Ovis aries: one gene and its partners. The protein of the gene in region 1 purifies or fractionates together with the protein of each later gene. This does not show direct contact. Links are inferred from orthologs where the notes say so. Each region holds a gene or a part of one and is shown in the gene's direction. Other genes may lie near its edges. The genes, in order: RCCD1, SPAG9 and KDM8.

Region 1 (6,982 bases):
CCTTTTAACCCGTAAGGCAGCTGCAGTGTCTCGCAAGGGCTCGTCTGAAACAATCTCTCCGGGTTCTTGCCCGAACCCTCTGTCTAGCCGGCCGCTCCAGCCAGGTCGCAGCCAGCCAAAGACGCTGCGGGGCATGGACGAGGAGCGTCGCGGGACCTGGTTCGGCTTCGGTTTCTGCGGCTTCGGGCAAGCGCTGGGCTCGGGGCTCGGGCGCCAGGTACACAGCCCCGAGCCGGTGAGGATGCCGGGCGGCAGCGTCGACGTCTGCCGCGTGAGCGCGAGCTGGAGCTACACAGCCTTCGTGACCCGTGAGCGCCCCCTCCGTCCCCGCCCCGGCCCCCGGCGCACGCGCCGCCCCCTCCGTCCCCAGCCCGCTCTCCGCCCCCGGCAGGTGGAGGCCGGGTGCAGCTGTCTGGCGCGGCGGGCGGCGCGGCGGACGGATACACGGACGCGTGCGCGTCGGAGGAGCTCCTGGTGCTGCTGCGCGCGGGGCCGGGAGCCGGGGCGGAACTGCAGGCCTGGGCGCCCGGTTCGGCGCTGCGCGGGGAGCCCCTCTGGTCTCACGCCGTGCAGGAGGCAGAACACGGACCCAACCGTGATGAGACCCAGGCGGGGCTGCTGCCGCTGCTGCCCTGCGCTCGCGCCTACGTGAGCCCGCGGCCGTCCTTCTACCGGCCTCTGGCCCCCACGCTGCGGGCGCGTCGGCTGGAGCTGGGCGCCGAGCACGCGTTGTTGCTGGACGCCGCGGGCCAGGTGTTCTCCTGGGGCTCGGGCAGGTGAGTGGGACTTGGCCAGGTGGGCCCGCTGGGCTTTTGCTGGGATGCCGCGGTTTACGGGTCGGTAAATGTGACCTCGGAGTGGGAGGTCAGCATACAGGTGGCTGGAGGGAGTGATTGGGCAAGGACGGAGGAGACCTCTTGGTGTGACTGTAGCTGATTGGGACCTCCTTTCCTCAGGCATGGACAGCTGGGCCACGGGACCCTGGAGCCAGAGCCAGAGCCCAGGCTGTTGGAGGCGCTGCAGGGCCTACGCATGGCTGAAGTCGCCGCAGGTGGCTGGCATTCTGTGTGCCTGAGTGGTGAGTGACCTAGGGCTTTTCCAAAACCAGCTCAGGATCTTGCAGGCGCCAAACCTTCCTCCTCCTCTCCCCATCTGATGGGTGGCCTAGCCAGGCCTCCTTCCAAGCTAATCCTGCATCCATCAGCCCAGTCATTCCTGACTCCCAAATGCCTCAGATTCAGCGCCTGCCCCGCCGCCCCTTCATCACCACCCTCACAATCGGGACTGTTGGCAGTTGTTTCCCGTCTTCTGGTCTCACTACCCCTCCCATCCATCTGCCTCCATCCAGGGCTATCATTTTGGTCCCCAAGGGAGAATGGAGGGGTGAGGGGCAGTCAAGGAGGACAGAGAAGAAAGGTAGCAGCTGCCCAGGTGGCTGTAATGCGTGGCACAGGGTGGACACTGGGAGGCCCACCTGGAGGAGGATGGTGGTCATTGTGAGCTCTGTTGGTGCCGTGGCTGGTCATCCAGGATGGGAATGAGTGTCCCTTGAGATTGTGTTCACCCCTCTGGCAGGAGATCCAGGTGCAGCTGATAGCTAGGCTGTCGGGTGGGGCTGGTGGTAAATGATTTTTGCAAGGATCTGCATCAGGGGCTCTGGTCACTACTTAATATTGTTACTGACCAGGTCGGGTTGTGCAGCCAGCCGAACACTGAGACACCAAGGTTGATAGCCAAGAGTGAGTTTATTCACAAGGCAGCCAAGTGAGGAGATAGGAGAATAAGCCCCCAATCTGCCACCTTGAAGGGTTTGGGTTATTTATGGCATAAGCCAGGTGGTCTTAGGCATGGAGAAAGGTGATTGGAGGTAGGGAAGAAGGTGAGGTAATCAGTGTTATGAGCAGGCATACCTGAGTCAACATGGTTCTGTAGATTTCAAAGTGGAGGCGCTTTGGGACTTCCCTGGCAGTCCAGTGGTTAGGACACGGAGCTTTCACTGCTGGGTTCAATCCCTGATCAGGGAACTAAGATCCCACAAGGCACGCAGGCAGCAGCGGGGGTGGGGTGGGGGTGGGGGGTACAAAAGAGGCAATTAGCATGATCTGAGGGTGGAGTTTTCGAGCCTTCTGATATCAGAGCGCCACTCACTGGCCACGTGCACAGACCCAGTTTTGGGGTCAGTGGTCCCATCTAGTCTCCAGCTGGCTTTTGCTAACTCCAAGTTCCTGTGAAACAGCTGGGTTATATGAAACTGTATGCAATTAAGGGAAAAATAGAAAGAAAAATAACCAAAGTGAACTTAATGAAGGCACTTTACAGTAAGCAAAGGAGTTTTAATAGTGTGTTCCTCATCTGTTCTCCAAGGAAAGTTCAAGAATTTCTCCTTAGTTATCACCTTCTGTTAACTCCGTGGGGCATGGTTTCACTCGGGATCTTTAAAAATAACTTAGGCCTGCACTCTCCCCTCCCTATTCTAATGGGCCTGGGTTGGCAGCCAGGCTTGAGAACTGCTGGGCAGGAGGAAGGAGACGAGAGGACCAGAAAGAGAGCGCAATGGAAAGTCTCACACTAAGGTCCAAAAAGAGTTTGAGGCCTCAGTGTCATGTGGTTGGAGCACTGCTGCTTCAAACTAGACCTCCCAGGTTCACATCAGCATCAGTCTGCCGCTCGTGATCTTGGGCAGGACACCTCACCGCTCAAGTTTCTCTGGAGTAGAGTGGATATATGGTGCTTAAAACACTGGCACGGATTAAACACTTGATAAAACCAGCTACTACTGTTAGTGAATTTTTAGCATTAAGGCTCTTGCTCCAGCCAACAAACTATATAGTGTTGTGGGAGGAGGCAAGCAATGTTGAGAGCTTCTAGAGGCCTTCGGGGATGGGAGAGGGTGTAATGGGTCAACTGTATGGCGACAGATGGAAACTGACCTTTTGGTGATAAGCGAACTGTAGTACATACACGCAAAATGTGTACATGAAACTTACACGCAATGTCAAAATACACGCAATGTTGTATACATGAAACTTACACAAAAGTTTCATGCTGTGTCAATTAAATCAATGCTGTGTCAATTTAAAAAACAAACACATTTTTTAAAAAAGGTCTACAGGACCAGTGATGGGTAGGGCTGAAGAAAGGAGCCTGGGCTCAGTGAATGTGAAAGAAAGATACTAGGGAACTTCCAGGGACTCATTTCCAAATTGCATGTTGGAGGTGGGAGCTGGGAGTTAACAACAAAGGGGAAAAGTGACCCTGGAGAGGAAAGCCTAATAAGAGGTGTCCTTTAAGAATAGGGTGACCAAAAAAAAAAAAAAATAGGGTGACTGAATGCACTTAAGGAGGAAAGAAAGGTCCTGCTGAGACAAGGAAGCTGCTGGGCCCTGAGGGAGGTACTTAATCTGGAAGGCTGACTTGGGTGGGGCAGGCAAGCGTTGTCTGTCAGGAGCCACACTCGTACAGGGAGTGTGGATAGATCCAGGGGTGATCTGAGTCTGTTTAATGGGACCCTATTCTCTCTGCCTCAGAGACAGGAGATATTTATATCTGGGGCTGGAATGAATCAGGGCAGCTGGCCCTACCCACTAAGAGCCTGGCAGAAGATGGAAAGACAACTGCAGGAGAAGGTGAGGGTCGATTTTGTTAAAAATTTATTTTATTGAAGTGCAATTGATTTGCACTGTTGCGTTACCTTGTGCTGTATGGCCACGTGATTCAGTTATACCTACACATACATTCTTTTTTATATTTTTCCATTACAGTTTATCACAGGATATTGAATATAGTTCCCTGTGCTACAGATTAGGACCTTATTGTATTTTCCATTCTATATATAATAGCTTGTATCTGCTAACTCCAAACTCCCAATCCATCCCTCCCCTACCCCCTCCTCCTCGGCAACCACAAGTCTGTTGGTGAGAGTCAGTTGTTGATTTCCACACATTTCTGTTATTCCTGCCTCCTGGCCATAGGCTGGCTTGAGAGCTACAGGGCTCAGAAGCGGTATGCGATATCCTTGGGACCCCAGGACACACTGAAGGACTCTGAACCCCTTATGAGAGGGAGCACGGCAAGGCTGATGCCAGTGTCCTTGCGGCACACCCCACAAGCCTGTCAGCTCCAGCACTTCCCAGGGAATTCGGGGTTGCAAGCGACAGCTTTGGAGCTAGAGTAGGGGCTTCAGCTATTGTGTGTATAAATGAGGTTTATTATTTTTTATGATCGAGGTGTAGATCAGGTCTCAGTGAGTGTTCACCATCATTATCATCATAACTCTTACTGCTTCTCTGAAGCCTCAGGACTGGATGAAGATGGTTCCGAAGTGAAGAGAGTCTCTGCGGGTGAGGATGGAGCCCCTGCCCCCTTCATAGCGGTCCAGCCGTTCCCAGCTTTACTGGATCTCAGCCCGGGCTCAGAGGCAGTCAAGGTCAGCTGCGGATCCCGGCACACGGCAGTGCTGACAAGTGAGTGGGGCCAGATAGGCTGGTTCAGGATGGCGCAGGAAGCCCCCTCTGCACACTGTCTAGCTGGCGGCTGCAGGAAAGGGTGTGGTCCCTTAAAAGACTAGCAGCCTCACTCCCTGGGGTCTTTCACAGAGGCTACCCAGCCTGTCAGGCCCCGAAGGTTCTGGGGGGAGGCTAGTGTTTGCCAGCCTTGCATCGGATGAGGGTCTGCCCAACCCTGCTCCTGAGACTCCAGATTTGGCTGTGAGTCATAGCCGTTGGGTGTATAGCAAGGTGAACTTGTTCAGTCCGGATCCTTTACCACCCCGAACGTGACTAGCCTGTGTGCATGCTGTGTGCTAAGTCGCTTCAGCTGTGTCCGACTCTTTGCGACTCTCTTTGACGCTCTGTAGCCTGCCAGGCTCCTCTGCCCATGGGATTTTCTGGACAGAGGAGTGGGTTGCCATGCCCTTCTCCAAGGGATCTTCCTGACATGTAACGATTGTTAAAAAAGGAGAGAGAATATGTGTTGCTCTGCCAAACAAATCGCACAACGGCCACAGTGCGCTGGCTGTGGGTTGTGGCAGGCTGAGCTGGACTCATGCCCTGTCAGAGCATGGCAACAGCCCCTTTACTGTCCTTTCGGTTGCAGGAACGGGGGAGCTCTACACCTGGGGCTGGGGTAAGTAAAGGGTTTGCTTTTGTGATGCTTAAACTAAGGGGAGGAAAAGACCTGCGGGTAGCGGGCAAGTGACAACAGCTGTGAAGAGAAGCGGAAACAGGGGTCTCAGCACGACCACTGGACTGAAAAGCCATCTGTTCCCTTCTCTGGAACAGATCTAGGCACACTCAGAGGGGCAGAGCTCAGAGAAACAGGAAGTATCAGTATTTCCCATCTACCTTCCTGAAAAAGTATGTATCCCAAGGGAATATCTCGCCAGCATCTCTGTGACCTCTTGTGGTCTGGCCCTGGGAAGAGAAAAAGGTAGAATGAAAATCTCTGGGCATCTGAGCTTTAGGAGTGGGGAGCCTGGAGGATTTGCCTGGCTCTATGCTGCTGGTCTGAACTCACGGAGCAGACAGCAGCGGAGTGGTGGCCTAAGCCCAGCGCTTCGGTCAATGGGCTGATTTTCCTTCCTGGAGGGGAGAAGCCACAGGGCCCAGCAGAGGATGGCAAAGGGGCTCATTTCACTTTAGGTAAATATGGACAGCTCGGCCACAAGGACACAACTACTTTGGACCGGCCCTGCCGTGTGGAGTACTTTGTAGATAAGCAACTCCAAGTAAGAACTGTGAGCTGTGGGCCCTGGAACACCTATGTGTATGCTGTGGAGAAAGAGAAGAGCTAACCTATGGATAAGGGCATAAAAGAACAGTAGAGTGGAAAATTATACAGCCAACACCTGTGAAACTCCCCACAGGGCAAGGAAAACCACTGCCAGCACCCAGAGGCCTCTCCCAGTCACAGCCCTCTTGCTCCACCTTAGAGCAGGCAGCATCTTCAACTTTTTCCCCTCATTAGAAACACCTGGAGGGAACTCCCTGGTGGTCCAGTGGATAGGACTCTGCGTTTTCACTGCTGAGGGAGCAGATTCAATCCCTGGTCGGGGAACTAAGATTCCACAGGCTGCAGGGTTTGTGTGCCCCACACTCCCAGAGAAAAAGAGAAACACCAGGAGATTTGTAACTGGATGCCTAGAGACGCATCTTAAAGAGAAAGTGAAAGTCGCTCAGTCATGTCGGACTCTTTGGACCCCATGGACTATACAGTCCATGGAACTCTCTAGGCCGGAATACTGGAGTGGGTAGCCTTTCCCTTCTCCAGGGGATCGTCCCAACCCAGGGATTGAACCCAGGTCTCCTGCATTGCAGGCAGATTCTTTACCAGCTGAGCCAGGGCCGGCATCATAGACATGATGAAATCGTGAACTTGAGGGTGTAGAACATAGACGTGGGTAGATTTTTAAAGGGCTTCCCTAGTGGCTAAGACAGTAAAGAATCTGCCTGCAATGCAGGAGACCTGGGTTGAATCCCTCCCTGGGTCAGGAAGATTCCCTTGAGAAGGGATGGCAACATGCCCCAGTATTCTTACCAAGCTGCCCCATCCCAGGTGATTTTTGAGGTAGTGCTAAGACTCGGAACCGCTAGAGGTCATCTTTTGTTATTCATTTGAACTGTTTTCACTTTGAATCTTACCATTCCATGTATGCCTCTTTATACAGTAAAATTTGTCTGCTTTTGAACTTTAGGTGAATGGTCATCCTGGGTATGTTCTTTTGTGTCTTTTTTCATCAGCACTGTAAGATTCACCTGTGGTACCCTACAGCTCATTCACTTTCACTCCATTACATGAATTATACCTCGTTTATATATTCTCTTGTTGATACTAATTTCCTTTTTCTTACTGAGTTAAAACACACATAACAAAAAATGTATTATCTTAACCATTTTTAAGTGTACAGTTCAGTGGTACTGAATACACTCACACTGCTGTTCAGCCATCAACACCATCCAGTCCCATCTCTCCTCATCTTTTAAGT
Region 2 (7,691 bases), on another chromosome or scaffold:
AGACTGGTTAAAACATGGGCAAGAAGTATGTCAAGGCTGTATATTGTCACCCTGCTTATTTAACTTATATTCAGAAGATATCATGTGAAATACCAGCTAGATGAAGCTCAAGCTGGAATCAAGATTGTGGGGAGAAATACCGATAACCTTAGGTATGCAGATGACACCATCCTAATGGCAGAAAACGAAAAGGAACTAAAGAGCCTTTTGATGAAGGTGAAAGACCAGAGTGAAAAAGCTGGCTTCAAAACTCAACATTCAAGAAACTAAGCTCATGGCATCTGGTCCCATCACTTCATGGTAAATAGACAGGGGAAAAAATGTAAACCGTGACGTCTTACTTTCTAGGACTCCAAAATCACTGTGGACAGTGACTACAGCCATGAAATTAAAAGACTCCTGCTCCTGGGAAGGAAAGCCATGACAAACCTAGACAGTGTTTTAAAAAGCAGAGCCATCGCTTTGCCAACAAAAGTCCATATAGTCAAAGCTGTGGTTTTTCCAGTAGTCGTATATGGATGTGAGAGTTGGACCGTAAAAAAGGCTAAGTGCCAAAGAATTGATGCTTTCAAACTGTGGTGTTGGAGAAGACTCTTGAGAGCCCCTTGGACATCAGGGAGATGAAACCAGTCAATCCTAAAGGAAATCAACCCTGAATATTCACTGGTAGAACTGATGCTGAAGCTGAAGCTCCAATACTTTGGCCACTTGATGTAAAGAGCCGACTCATTGGAAAAGACCCTGTTACTGGGAAAGATTGAAGGCAGGAGGAGAAGGGGATGACAAAGTATGAAATGTTTCGGTGGCATCACCGATTCAATGGGCAGGAGTTTGAGCAAACTCTGGGAGTTAGTGAAGGTCAGGGAAGCCTGGTGAGCTGCAGTCATGGGGTAACAAAGAATCAGATACAGTGGAGTGACTGAGCAACAATGTATGTATATTTTACTACAATAAAATTTTTTAATGTGATATGGATAAGAATAGCTTTCTAAATAAAGAGAACTGAAAAGATTTTTTAAATGTTAAATGCTTAGTTTTTAAGTGTGTTACTAATATCTTAATGCACTGTATATACCTAGGCTGTATTAATTTTTAATAGTGGCAGAAATTCATATTTGAAATAGAAATAGTGATAATTAAAAAAATTTTTGCTGACTTGTCAGAATTATATTTTGTTGTTTTTAATCTCATTAGTTGGCTGCTTTAAGAACTCATATTAAGAACAGAAACACATTTCTGACATTTTTTTGGTTTACTTGTGCTTGCATTAGTTATTATTTATTATTGTTGCATTTATTTTCTTAATTTTTTAAACTACTTTCTCAATTTGTGAATTGAGTTTAAATTAGTTTAAATAAAATTTATTTACCATCTTGGCAGTGTATTTGCTTAGATATTTGTCTCACCTTTACTCTTATTTCAAACCTATAGTTGCTTTAATAGAGAAAATGCTACTTATAGAAGTTTACTGAGCTATTTAAAGAAAGTTTATCTTGTACTTCAGGAGCCCGAGAAACAGACTACCCTGCAGGAGAAGAGCTTTCAGAATCCGGACAAGTAGACAAAGCATCTTTATGTGGAAGCATGACAAGCAATAGCTCAGCAGAGACAGATAGCCTGTTGGGAGGCATCACAGTAGTTGGTTGTTCTGCAGAAGGTATAACAGCAGCTGCCACTTCCCCTAATACCAATGAAACTTCTCCAGTGATGGAAAAACCGCCGGGTATGTTTGTCTTCCCTAGACACCATCTGTATAGTTTCTGAGCCTGTCCCAGGTGACTCAGTATGGACTTAAGTTAGATTTTAAAGTAACAGGGATGAAAGAGCTTGAAAGAGGATGCTGTGATGATTGTTAAATGAAATCAAGAATCCTCAATTTTATTATATGGAGAAGAGGGTAAGAGTGGAATTCTGTAGAGGGGTTTTGGTAAGTGATTGGAAGAAAAGCTCAAACTTGGAATGGTTAGCATGCTTTATTTATTTTTTAGAAAAGGAGACAGAAAATAGTGAGATTGATGAAAATGTTCCAACAGCAGAAGAAGCAACTGAAGCTACAGAAGGCAATGCAGGATCAGCTGAAGATACTGTGGATGTCTCCCAGACTGGCGTGTACACAGAGCATGTGTTTACAGATCCTTTGGGGGTTCAAATCCCAGAAGACCTCTCACCAGTGTATCAGTCAAGGTATAAAAATGCGTAAACACCTGAGGAAACCAGAGTGCACATGTAAAGGAACCAAAATGATCTCAAGCAGCCAAAATATTCCTACTAACTGACATTGTTGTGGCGGATTTAGATGTTATTACTTATTCCCACTATGTCTTCATCTGTTACATTGCAGAAGAAAAATCTAGACATATTTTTCCCCTATTTGCTCTCTATTCCTTACAACTTAAAAAAATCTTGCTTATAAAGTATATTGGTCAAAATCCTTACCAGTCAGTGTGGATTAAAATAATGAGTTATTAACAGAATAGAATACAGTGAGTACAATTTTTTTTTAAAGCCATACCAAATATCTATGGATTTTTTAAAAATTGTACTGTCTTCTATTCTATTAATAACTCATTATTTTAATTCCCACTCCTACACCCACTCTATCCACAGAACTGCCCATTTAAATTTCCCATGTGGGTTTTAATGACCTTTTGAATTTAGATTTCTGGCAAGTATTTTATTAGAAAACAATTTGTTTCAGACTTTTCCTTCAAAAGAAAGAGTTGTTTAATTTCCTTTCTTGCCTTCTCTAGACCTTATAGAAAGGTGATAGGGGTATAAAGTCATCTTTTTAAACTTACTGATTCATTTGTCTGTTTTGAATTTGATAGCCCAGTTATGCTTTTTTTTTAAACTAACTGTCCTCTGACAGTCCAAAGAAATAAAGTTTGGGGATAGAATAAAAGCATGTTTCAGTTTATTTATTTTAGAACATTGTTTATAATTAACCCTCCTGTGATGTCTGTGTGTGTGTGTGTGTGTGTGTGTGTGTGTGTGTGTGTGTGTGTGTAGGTATGTATGTGTAGTTTTAAAACAAACCATCTCTCCTCCTTCTATCCGCACAGAAGAAACTCATAAAATTCAAGATAACTATAAGAGAGAATTAACTTTAGTCTGGATATTAACTGCTATATTTCGTTACTGTGTCTTATTTCCCTTTTCTGTGCCTTGAACCTCCTAGTATGTCAGTGTTACTTCTGGTACAATTGCTGCAATATATATATTTATATACCTTTCACTCCTTTCTATTCTCCCTCCCGTCCGCCTCCCATTGCCTTGCCTTGCCTAGCTGCCTGTCTGCCTGCCTGCCTTCCCTCCACCCTCCCTCCCTCCCTTTCTCACTGTCTCTGAAATGTTTAATATAATCATCTAACTTTGGCTTTACTGGAATTTATTTTTTTAACAGTACACTAAAATGTAAAAATTATCAATTCCTGAAAACTGTAGCTAAACACAATAAGATTTTTTTTTCCTTTTTTCCCACAGTAATGACTCAGATGCATATAAAGATCAAATATCAGTATTGCCAAATGAACAAGACCTGGTGAGAGAGGAAGCCCAGAAGATGAGTAGCCTTTTACCAACTATGTGGCTTGGAGCTCAAAATGGGTGGTAGGTATCAAATCTTTTTAATATTAGAAATCTTAAGTCTTTCAATTTTGCTTTAGAAATCTTAAGATAATTAAAATGTGCTACGTACAAATACAAACAAAAAGTGCCTATTAAAGTGAAGAATTTTATATACACACAATTTTGAAGTTATATTGCAACTACCTCATAACTTGGACTTGGACTTGCATTGGTTCTGAGTGGTGAACCGTATGTTTGTCATAGGATGTTTCCTTCATATAATATTCTTGGGAAAAAAGTTAAGTAAACTTAAAAATCTGGGTGATCTAAAAATAAGAGATCCTGTTGTTCAGGAAATAAAAGGGATTAAAAAAATCTCGGGCTGCAGAAAGGCCTAATTTTAAACATAACTTCTGGGAAAACAAGGACAAATCACAGTCTAAAAGCTTAGGAGTTGATAAACACTATAGGACTTTTCCACTTTGTAGTAGTGTGAAGAGTCTTACAAACTTGTGCTTTTCCTAAGGTTAAACGAAATCACTAGTGGATCTTTCCCATAAAGGACTAATACTACAAAATGAAGGTTTGACGTACGTTTCTCTATGAAGGGTCAGACAAGAAATATATCAGGTTTTGTTGCCTTATGATCTTTGTAGCAACTTATTAACTATGCTGTTGAGGTGCAAAAGCAGCCACTGCATTGACAATACCTAAGTGAACTGGTGTGGATATGTTCTAATAATAATAAAACTTATGAACACTGAATTTCATATAAGTCTTGTATGTCATGAAATACTCTCCTTTTGGTTTTTTTTTTTCCCAACCATTTAAAAAATATAAAGACCATTTTTAGCTTGAGACTGTACTAAGACAGGTAGATGGCTGGATTTGGCCTATGGGCCTTAGTTTGCCGCTCCCTGATGTAAACCGCTCTATTATCAGAAATTTATAGCTCAGTAAGAAGACTATTTTTTTAAAAGATTGATAGCCAAGGATTCTGAAGTATGTGGTAATCTGAAACCAACCATGCGTTAGTTCTGGCTTTTCCTTCTTTTTATGTTTCTGTTTGCTTAAGCAGCTTATTTCTCTGCCTTAGGCCTATCCTTTCCTTGTTTTGTCCTGAAATTTTTATGTTACTCTTCTTTTCTTTTGAAGAAACTTTGTGTCATTATTAGATATAAGCAACTACTTGATGTGTTCTCTATGCCTTACCAGTCTTGATTTTGTTCTTGCAGTTTGTATGTCCATTCATCTGTAGCCCAGTGGAGGAAATGTCTCCATTCTATTAAACTTAAAGATTCGATTCTCAGTATTGTGTAAGTTTTATTTTAGAAATTCTTCCTTTGAAAAATATGTATTTTGGTATAAACTAGATTCTAAGACTATTAAAGTTAACATGTACTTCATGACTAAATCAGTATCCATGTCTTTTTTAACCCTCTTTATGAATGAGATTAAAACTAGAAAATAAACCAAGTAATTTTAAGTAGAAGAGAAAGCTTTCTAGGTTGATTCCTCACTGTTCTGAGAGTTCTTTAGCCTGTTGGTGAGAAAACCAATTAAAACCCGTGATATTTGTTTCAGAATATTCTTTACACTTTGTGAATATGCTGATTGGGTGATTGATTTACCAGTCCTTTTCTGTATGTTGACTGTGAAAAGTCAGTTTGTCTCTTAGATCCACAGAGCTGACTCTTTCTACTCAAGGTGTGTGCCTCTGGTCTGTGGACCTTTTGTCTGCAATGAGAGGAGGTTAGAAAGTGAAACAGCTGAGTCACCACACATGCTTCCTATTGAGTCCAGCTGACATTTTCATAACGAGACTTTTCTCAATGAAGAAAAGAATCTGTTCCTTTAGATTCTCCTGTAAGCTCCTCACATCACAGATTGGTCTTCTGAGAACCTCTGAACTAGTTCAGCAGCGTGTGGTGTCTTCTGCACTCCCAAATGGAGAGTTCTAAGACCCCCTTTCCTGTTTGCAGACATGTGAAAGGAATTGTGTTGGTGGCCCTGGCTGACGGCACCCTTGCAATCTTTCACAGAGGAGTTGGTGAGTTTCATGAATATGTAACATGTGTGCTGATTCGTTGCTTTGCAAGAGCATGTTCAAACATATTGACCTCATATGTTTTAAAGAAATGATATTTCATAGAAGAAAGAATAAAGATTTAAACTGAATACTAACCATGTATGAAATGAGTAAATATGTGAGTGCCTGACTGGAGGCATACATTAATCATACACCTCAGTGAAAATTTGTTTACCATACTGAGCAAATAGTCCTTATGGTCCTCTTAAATAATGTGCAATGGAAGTATTTATTTGTTTTATTTGTTTTCTAATCATAGGCCTAATTTAGTGAGAGTACATGGTTTCTTTTGTCCAGTATTTTAAAAGTAATTTGCATTCACTTACATTTGGAATGTTCTTGAAAAGAATTTTTAATTAGCTAAAGTTTAATCATTTTCTTGTCATGTTTTTTATATTCTTCCCCTTTAAAGTAGTGTTTCTACCATCTGCAGACAGAAGGTGTCAGAAAACTGCGCTGAGTGAATTTAAGAAATTGAGTATATAATTCCTTGGTACATGTATAGTCCAAAAGTGATATTTCCTTCCTACTAGATTGGTAGATCAGGGAAATATAAAAATATAGATCCGATATGAGACTTTGGAAAAGCCTTGCAAAAATTAATTTTTTATTTTATTAATTAATTTTTGCAAGGCTTTTCCAAAGTCTCATATCTTTTTGCAGCCTCAAGAAATGTGAGGTAGATGATACTTAGGTGCCTAGAGATTTTTGGTTAATGACTCCATAATGAAAAGAGAGGCCTCTGTTTTACATTGTTCAGGGCCTTTATAGACGGTATCTGAGTTTAATCCGCACAGCAACTTATGAAGAAAATTCTATTGTCATCCTCATTTTGTAGCTGAGGAAACTGAGGCACAGTAGTTACTTGTTCCTGGTCACTCGACTAGTGAGTAGGAGAACCTAGAAAAATGGAATAATAAATGTTTTGGTAGACTGAATTGAAAACTGAGCAAGACAGAATACATTAAATAAGGATAAATGTAAAGTCCTGCATTTGGGTTCCAAAGAGTAGATGGAGATTTGTGTGAAGAGTGACAGTTACTTAAAGGGTGACATTAAACTCAGTACAAGTTAGTTAACATGCTAAACCTCATAGAAATTAGTGTCTAGAGCAGGGCTGGTGATCCTGCTCCACTCTGGTAGAAAGATAGCATGAAATGGATCTAGACAAAATGGAGTTGGGATGAAAGTTCCATAAACAAATGTGTCCAAAACACGAAGACAGGGCAGTAGCAATGAAGTGAGACTTACTCTGTGAGGTTTATTCTGTGTTTCCATTAGGCATAACTATAGATGAAAGAGTGATTATGTACAAGAAGGCAGACTTTAGCTGAGTATGGGGAATATTTTAAGATAATTACAGTTTTCTTAAAATGAAACAGCTGCTTTGTGAGGAATTATGTTTTCCTTCACTGAAATTATCAAGCAAAGCAAGCTTACAGTGGTTGGTTCTCATTTGTAATGAATTTCTTGTCATCACTAAAGTTATGCATAATTCCTAAAGCCTTAGCAGTGAGTTGCCCTTGACTTCTATCTAAGAAGATACACCAAAAATGCAAGTGAGCCAGAGCGATATTATGCCCCAAATAACCTTAAATTCATTATAATACCTAAAATACTTTTGTAAACAGGTAACTTAAAAATAACTAATCACATCACCTCTGTTGAGAGCAAGGGGGTCCAGGTAATGGGTGGCAGGTTGGACCATATGATCTTTGAGATCTCATCCAACTCTGTTTGATTTATATCTGATTTACAGATTTAATTTATAGATTAATGTCTGTAATATATACACTGTATGTATATATATCTGTAATATATACAGCTTGCCTGGGATTAATATCTGTAAATATACACTGAAATACATGATATTTGGTGATACTTCATTAATAAATTTAATTACACACCCAAATAAAATATTTTTTGAGTTAAAATTGAGTAAAAGATGGTATACATAAACTAATAATCTACTCCTTATTTTAAAGATGGACAGTGGGATTTGTCAAACTATCACCTGTTAGATCTTGGACGACCT
Region 3 (6,669 bases), on another chromosome or scaffold:
GTAACCTTTTGAGGAACTGCCAGATTGTCTTCCATTTTGTCATTTCTTAACAGGGAGGACCTTGGTGTCTTCCTCTTCCTGATACCTGTTGGCCGCTCTGGCTGCTGTTGGGGTCAGGGGTGCCCAGCGTTGTATCTAACCTGCCCCCATCTGACCCTTGCAGAAGCCTTCAGGCATACTCAGAGAATCCCTCAGCATCCAGGAGCCCGGTCTGAAAAGCACTGATCTTTTCTTTCTTCTGCTTGGCAGAATTTTTCACAAAATGATCATCTCCTGTGTGGTCAGAGATGTGGGAAAGTGGGCGCTCCCATTAACGGCTGGTGAGGACATAAATGATGTAGTGTTGGGAAAACAACCTGGCAGAAGCTGTTAAGATCTAAAATGTGTGTAATGCATGTGCTCCTTGACCGCACTGTTCTACTTTTGGAGGCATATAAACAGAAGGACCAGAGCATTCGGCTGTTTGGGCTTCCCAGGTGGCACTAGTGGTAAAGAACCGCCTGTCAATGCAGGAGACATAAAGGACGTGGGTTGGGAAGATCCCCTGGAGAAGGGCATGGCATCCCACTCCAGTATTCTTGCCTCAAGAATCCCATGGACAGAGGAGCCTGGCAGGCTACAGCCCATGGGGTCGCAAAGAGTCGGACATGACTGAAGCGACTCAGCACGCACACTCGCGTGCATTCAGCTGCTTACTGAAACACCATGGTAGAACCACGTGAATGTCTACCAGCTGGGGGACGGTTGAATGGATAATGATGCATTATCTCTAAAACATGCATCCATCAAAAGAATGAGTCACATATGCATGTATCGACTGGAAGAGATAGTCACGATGTATCATTAAATTGAAAAGCAGACTTCAAAGTAATGCATATTGTATGATTCCATTTTTATTTTAAAAAATCTTTATGTGTGCGCAGCCCCTTCACATTTCATGGAAAGTGAGCCCCGGGGCTCCGGGTGACTTACTCAGGCCCACCTCTTTAGCACAGGCAGTACCAGACCCTGAGTGCCCCCATCAGCCCATTCCTGCTGGCTGGCAAGGGATGACATTGGCCCTGGGCTCAAGAGGAGGGGGTCCAAGGGGGATGAAGAGGAGGGCCCTTGGGTGGTTGCCATGGGCAGGATGCTGAGAGCCAGCTGAACTGGCAGCTCCAGGGACCTCTCTGTCACAACTAACAGGGCTTCCTGTGTCCCTTCTGGTTTTTCTCCCGTGGAGCAGCCGAAGGACATCGGGTACCTTGCTCAGCACCAGCTCTTTGACCAGGTGAGTCAGACCACGCCCCTCCATCCTTCACCCTCTCACCTTCTCCCACCTCCCTCTGGGGCACTAGCCCCAGGGGGCAGGAAAGGGGTAGTAACCTCAGTTGCCTCCTCCTGGTTCTGCCTCCTGCTCTGAGTAGGGAGGCACACTCACCTGATGCCCTTCTCACCAGCAGGCAGCAGGGGGCAGGCCAGGCCCCGGGACTGGGTTGAGGGAAGAGGAGGCCACCTCCGGGTGGCCCCCAGGGGATGGAATGGGAAACCCAAATGTGGTCAGAACTCCCAGAACTGGTTCTGGGAGCCAGGTGAGGGTGGCAGGCTCCAACCTGACCCAGAACAAGTGAGTTCATGCTGATCTTGACCCCTAGCCCCAGTTGGGACTCTGCCAGCCTCTGGGAGCTGCAGGTCCAAAGTTACAGCGGGGAGGCGGCGATGGGGCCAGGAGAGCTATGGTCTCCTGCCTAGGCCTCCCCATGTGAGGACTCATGGGTCCTTTCCCCATCCTCTCTTGCTAAATGAGGAAAAGGGGGATTTGAGTTGATCAGGCCTCTGCTGTGTGATCTCAAGAGACTGGCCTGTCCCATCCCCTGGCCTCAGTCGTACCAGGGCTCAGCCCTCAGCTTGGCTCCCTGTCCTGGAGCAGCTAGTTGCCATTTGACTAGAATACGAGGAAGCACATTGGGGAGAAGGCAAAAACATGATTGTTTTTAAGATGGACAAAGGCGTTGAAGCCGTTTTTGTCTTAGGCCCCCAGAGGTGTGTTTTCTCCTCTGTTGTTCCAACTACCATGGGGACAGTCTGAGCAACCAGAGCCCTGGGGCCGCCATGCAGCACAGAAGGGATGTCTGGCTGGCTTCTGCACGGCTTCTGGGGCCTTCTCCACCAAGCTCAAGGTCTCCCACCCAAAACCTTTTGCCCCAAAACCTCTTACTGACTTTCCTCCCAGTGACCCCATGTTTCAGAATATTTTGTGCTAGGCCTGCCTTCAAGTCTCAGCCCCACCTGGGACAGTTTCTCCTCTTACGGTCTCTGAATCCTTGGCCCGTGCCCCCAGTTACATCATCTGGCCAACCAATCACCTCTCAGGAATCCTGATGGTGTCATCAGGAACCAGTCAGCTTCCCAGCATCCCACAGGGCCAGGGTCTGGTGTAATCCCAGCCAGAAACTGTGTGGTGTGACGATGAGCCTGGCGGGGGAGAAGCAGGTGCTTCTCAGAGGCCTTGGGGATCCTACATGTAGCTTGAGGACCCCCCTCACCCACAGGACAAGGCACCTCAGGTCATGAACTTCTGCGTCAACCCAAAGCAGTGGACACAGCAGCTTTTTTACGAGCAAAACAGCCCCAGCTCCCGGCAGGGAGAGCATTCCAGCCTTCCCTAGCGGTGTGTGCGCTAAAGGAATGGCCAGTCGCCTGCAGACGTCCCTTCAGGCCTGGAGAGCTCGCTCTGAAGATCCCTGATTAAACTAGCAGAGTGGGTCCCCTTTGCAGCATCTGGGGGACCAAACTTGATTCTGTGTTTAATTTCCCAGAGTCCCGGAGCACTTGCCAGTATGGCAGGCAGTCTTGTCAGTTGGGGTTCGGCAGGGCTACGGTAGATTGGCCTTGTTTGGAAAGAACCAGAGTCTCAGAGGAAACCACTCACACTGGCTGAAACCACTTCCTGACCAGACCTGTAGAGGCAGCTCCGGCCCCTCCCTCTGGGCGATGGATTCCGCGCCAGCCCTGGCCGTGGAGCCCCAGCTGCATGCTGTCTGGTCGGAAAGTAGGGTGGGTGTGGGGGATAGGAAGACATGAGAGGGCTGCACGAGGGTACTTGCTGTTTTAAAGTACAGACAGTCCCCAAATGATGATGATTCCACTTTATGGTCATACCAAAGCGATAGGCATTCAGTAGAAACTGTAGTTTGGATTTTGAACCGTGCTCTTTTCCTGGACTTAGTGGTATGTTTACCATACTATGTGATGCTGGGCTGAGTCTCCCGGTCCCTCAATGCAGTCCATCACACAGTCACACCAGTAAGCACTGGATACACTTCAGCCACTCTGGACCTGGATAACATTCTGGTTTTCACTTTCAGTACGGGATCCAATAAATTGGGTGATATCTGTCAACACTCCATTATAAAATAGACTTTGTGTTTGATGCTTTTGCCCAGCTGTAGGCTAATGAAAGTGTTCTGAGCACGTTTAAGCCAGGCTAGGCTCAGCTATGATGTTCTGTTTTCAGCTTCTGATATTTTCAAACTACCATGGGCTTATTGGGATGCAACCCCACCATAAGCTGAGGGAGAATCATCTCATTAGAGATGTTCACTGATGATGCTGGGGCAGGTGAGCCCACCTACCTCCTCGTGCAACCTTGTCTGCCTGCCCCCCACCTGCCCCGGAGTCCCAACTTCACTCCTCCTGGAGGACACCCCCACCCCAGGACACCTCCACACAAAGGCACAGCACAGGCTCACTTCCAACTGGGTCAAGGTCTGCACAGCTTTAAGACTTCCACATATGACCACTTGATGCCACCAGCAGCCTGGCATGGGGCTGCCCACATTACCACATCCTCAGCACCACTGGGTGTTATCACTTTTTCAGTCTTTGCTAATTTGATTAGTAGGAAATGATGACAGTTTTTAATTTGGATTTCTTTGCTGATGGGACTGAAAGCCTTTTTATGTATGATCTGATTTTTGTCCTTTGCTTATTTGTGTAACTTATACATATTGGGATCCTTATTATTTTATATGAATGCTCTACATTAACCTTCATTTACCACAGTTCAGATATTTTCCATTTTATTGGAATACACTTATTTTATATTAATATACTTATTTTCATTTACCTTAAATGTACTGATTGTGATTGCTTTACCATCAGTAAATTTTGGAAAAACCTTCCTCTCCAGAGATTTGATAAATAAATACTTAGTCTCATCTTTTTTCTTTGACTTTCTAAAATGTTGTGATAGATTTAGAAAATGGTAAGCTGGTTTATTTTTAAGACAAAGTAGGGTTGTCAGGTTTTTTAAAAAAGGAAATAAAGATAAAATGCATGTGACATGGAAAGAAATCTGAAAATTATAACCCTTCCCTAGTAATTATATATTTACTTTTAAAAATTGATTTAAAATTCCTATGCAGTAAAATGTGGCTAGCGTCATATTACACAAGAAGACAGTATTGGCCTTCTGCTTAAGAGTCAGTTGACATCTAGGCTGCTGAGTTGCACAGGCCTGGCCTTAACCCGCCTCATATGCTCTGTCAGATCCCCGAGCTGAAGCAGGACATCAGCATCCCCGATTACTGCTGCCTGGGCGACGGGGAGGAAGAGGAGATCACCATCAATGCCTGGTTCGGCCCACAAGGCACCGTCTCCCCACTCCACCAGGATCCCCAGCAGAACTTCCTAGCCCAGGTTGGAGCCGCTCAGAACCTTGGCCTTCCCCTTCCTTCTGGCCCAGCCACACATTATCCATGTTTAAACACCAAGGAGATGAACCACAGACAGGGGCATGGACCAAAGTGAAACCAGAGACTCAGTACCGGGCCTCAGGGAGGGGAGGGGCTGCTTCCAGACTCCTGTATCGTCTGGGATCCCATTGGATGCCTCACACAGGCAGAACAGGGCCGGGTGCCATCTCAGCATGGGGCAAGTGCCCCAACGGCTGCCGCCCCCCTGCCATCCATCAGAGCCAGGTCAAATACAAGGAAGCTGCTCAGCCAGTGGGTGGTTTTCCTGGGACACAGACAGGGGAGCCTGCGTGTGTTATAAGGGAAGGGGCGTGGCAGGGAGCGGGGACATCTGTTATAAAACCTTCCATCATAGGCAGAGAGGTTTGACAAGCCAGAGTGTCCTTCCAGTCCAGGGCCCATTCCCCGCCCGGGATGCGACAGAGAGGCTGGAAGCCCGACCACCTGGCGTGAACACAGCTGTCCCCTCTCAGCTTTGTGAACGTGGGCAGCTCAGCCTCTCTGTGCCTGCATTGTTGGGGGGGATGATAAACCACCTTGGAGGGTCATGGCGAGGATTAGCCAACACACACAAAGCACTTCAACAGCAGTGGCCACAGCCAAGTGCCTTCTGATGGTTTGGGACAGCAGCAAATGCACTCGACCTAACGCGTCTGCTGGGAGTGGGGCAGGCTGGCAGGGAGGGCGTGCGCGGGGACAGCGGGCACCTGCTCATGGAAGGGTCTCTTCCTTGCAGGTGATGGGCAGGAAGTACATCCGGTTGTACTCCCCGCAGGAGTCGGAGGCGCTGTACCCCCACGACACACACCTTCTTCACAACACGAGCCAGGTGGGCCTGGGGGCCCCGGTGGGACCCCCACCCTGTCTCTTGAGACCAGACAGGTAACTCCCTTCACTTTCTCAGGTTGACGTGGAGAATCCCGACCTGGAGAAGTTCCCCAGGTTTGCTGAGGCCCCCTTCTTGTCCTGCGTCCTGTCCCCGGGCGAGGTCCTCTTCATCCCAGCGAAGCATTGGCATTACGTGAGGGCCCTGGACCTGAGCTTCTCCGTCAGCTTCTGGTGGTCGTAGCTGAGAGCAGGGGGCCGGGCACACAGAACGTGCTCATGGTCACACACATCCTTCACACTGTGCCCGGCCCAGGGACCAACTGCCTGAGGACACCTTCGTCAGAGACACGTAGGCCCAGGGGTGGCCCGGCTGCTGTGGGTGGCGGAGGCAGGCAGGCAGGCCCCCAGGAGGACAGTCCAGGTCCTCAACCCACATGGAAGCTCCTGGGCTCCGAGCTGGGCTGCCTGGATTCAGGCCAGGGGCCCATCGCTGAACTCCTGTGTGGTTTGGGGCAGGCAACTCTGCTGTGCACGTCTCCGTCTGGAACACAGGGCAGCGCTGGTCCTCGCCACAGAAGGCTCCAGGGATGGGCACGGGCGGAGCTGTGCTGCAGACCTCAGCTGCTGTCACCAGGCCGCATCATTAGTCTGGTTGTTAACACCATTCCGTGTTGACTGGTCCGTCAGGACAGCCACAGCCTGCGGGCTCTAGAGCACAGTGGCCGTGGCCCGGTCACGGGGCGGGGGGACCCTCAGTGTCTTGCTCAGCTCAGGCCTCTGCTGGGTGGTGAGGAGTCTGGGGTGGTTTCTGTCTTTGTTACCCAAGTGTAACCTGCCTTCAGAGAAGTGCTCACCCCCGCTCGCTTGGTGGATTTTCCACTCTGCACACCCCCGACCAGTTTCCAGTCAAAAAAGAGAACATCTGGTAGGCCCCCCTCCTGCGCCTTGCTGTCTCCATTACCCAGGGGTCACTACTCTCCAAAGAGGGTTTTAGGTCAGGAGAGACCCAGGCTTCAGACTTCACATAAACACATTTGTTTCATTTGTATAAAACATGGTTGGTTTTCTTCTGAGTTTGGACCAGGTGAGGATGCTGGGGACGGGG

What was found.
Region 2: the proteins of RCCD1 (region 1) and SPAG9 purify together in Homo sapiens (affinity purification with mass spectrometry; 3 studies listed by BioGRID and IntAct, counting the BioPlex papers as one, with this or other methods). This does not show direct contact. The link is inferred for Ovis aries from reciprocal best matches to the Homo sapiens genes RCCD1 and SPAG9.
Region 3: the proteins of RCCD1 (region 1) and KDM8 purify together in Homo sapiens (co-immunoprecipitation; 3 studies listed by BioGRID and IntAct, counting the BioPlex papers as one, with this or other methods). This does not show direct contact. The link is inferred for Ovis aries from reciprocal best matches to the Homo sapiens genes RCCD1 and KDM8.

The regions. Positions count from the first base shown.
Region 1 is NC_056071.1:21,017,588-21,024,569, reverse strand, and holds the end of RCCD1 (RCC1 domain-containing protein 1), read left to right. Parts: exon of another isoform or gene 1-16; 5' UTR 17-133; coding exon 134-308; intron 309-391; coding exon 392-776; intron 777-956; coding exon 957-1,078; intron 1,079-3,527; coding exon 3,528-3,626; intron 3,627-4,292; coding exon 4,293-4,463; intron 4,464-5,094; coding exon 5,095-5,124; intron 5,125-5,639; coding exon 5,640-5,791; 3' UTR 5,792-6,690; downstream 6,691-6,982. UniProt on the Homo sapiens protein: Plays a role in transcriptional repression of satellite repeats, possibly by regulating H3K36 methylation levels in centromeric regions together with KDM8.
Region 2 is NC_056064.1:35,515,120-35,522,810, forward strand, and holds part of SPAG9 (C-Jun-amino-terminal kinase-interacting protein 4), read left to right. Parts: intron 1-1,504; coding exon 1,505-1,723; intron 1,724-1,988; coding exon 1,989-2,184; intron 2,185-3,483; coding exon 3,484-3,609; intron 3,610-4,802; coding exon 4,803-4,883; intron 4,884-5,549; coding exon 5,550-5,617; intron 5,618-7,641; coding exon 7,642-7,691. UniProt on the Homo sapiens protein: The JNK-interacting protein (JIP) group of scaffold proteins selectively mediates JNK signaling by aggregating specific components of the MAPK cascade to form a functional JNK signaling module.
Region 3 is NC_056077.1:25,311,456-25,318,124, forward strand, and holds the end of KDM8 (bifunctional peptidase and arginyl-hydroxylase JMJD5), read left to right. Parts: intron 1-1,225; coding exon 1,226-1,270; intron 1,271-4,530; coding exon 4,531-4,680; intron 4,681-5,472; coding exon 5,473-5,565; intron 5,566-5,640; coding exon 5,641-5,805; 3' UTR 5,806-6,617; downstream 6,618-6,669. UniProt on the Homo sapiens protein: Bifunctional enzyme that acts both as an endopeptidase and 2-oxoglutarate-dependent monooxygenase.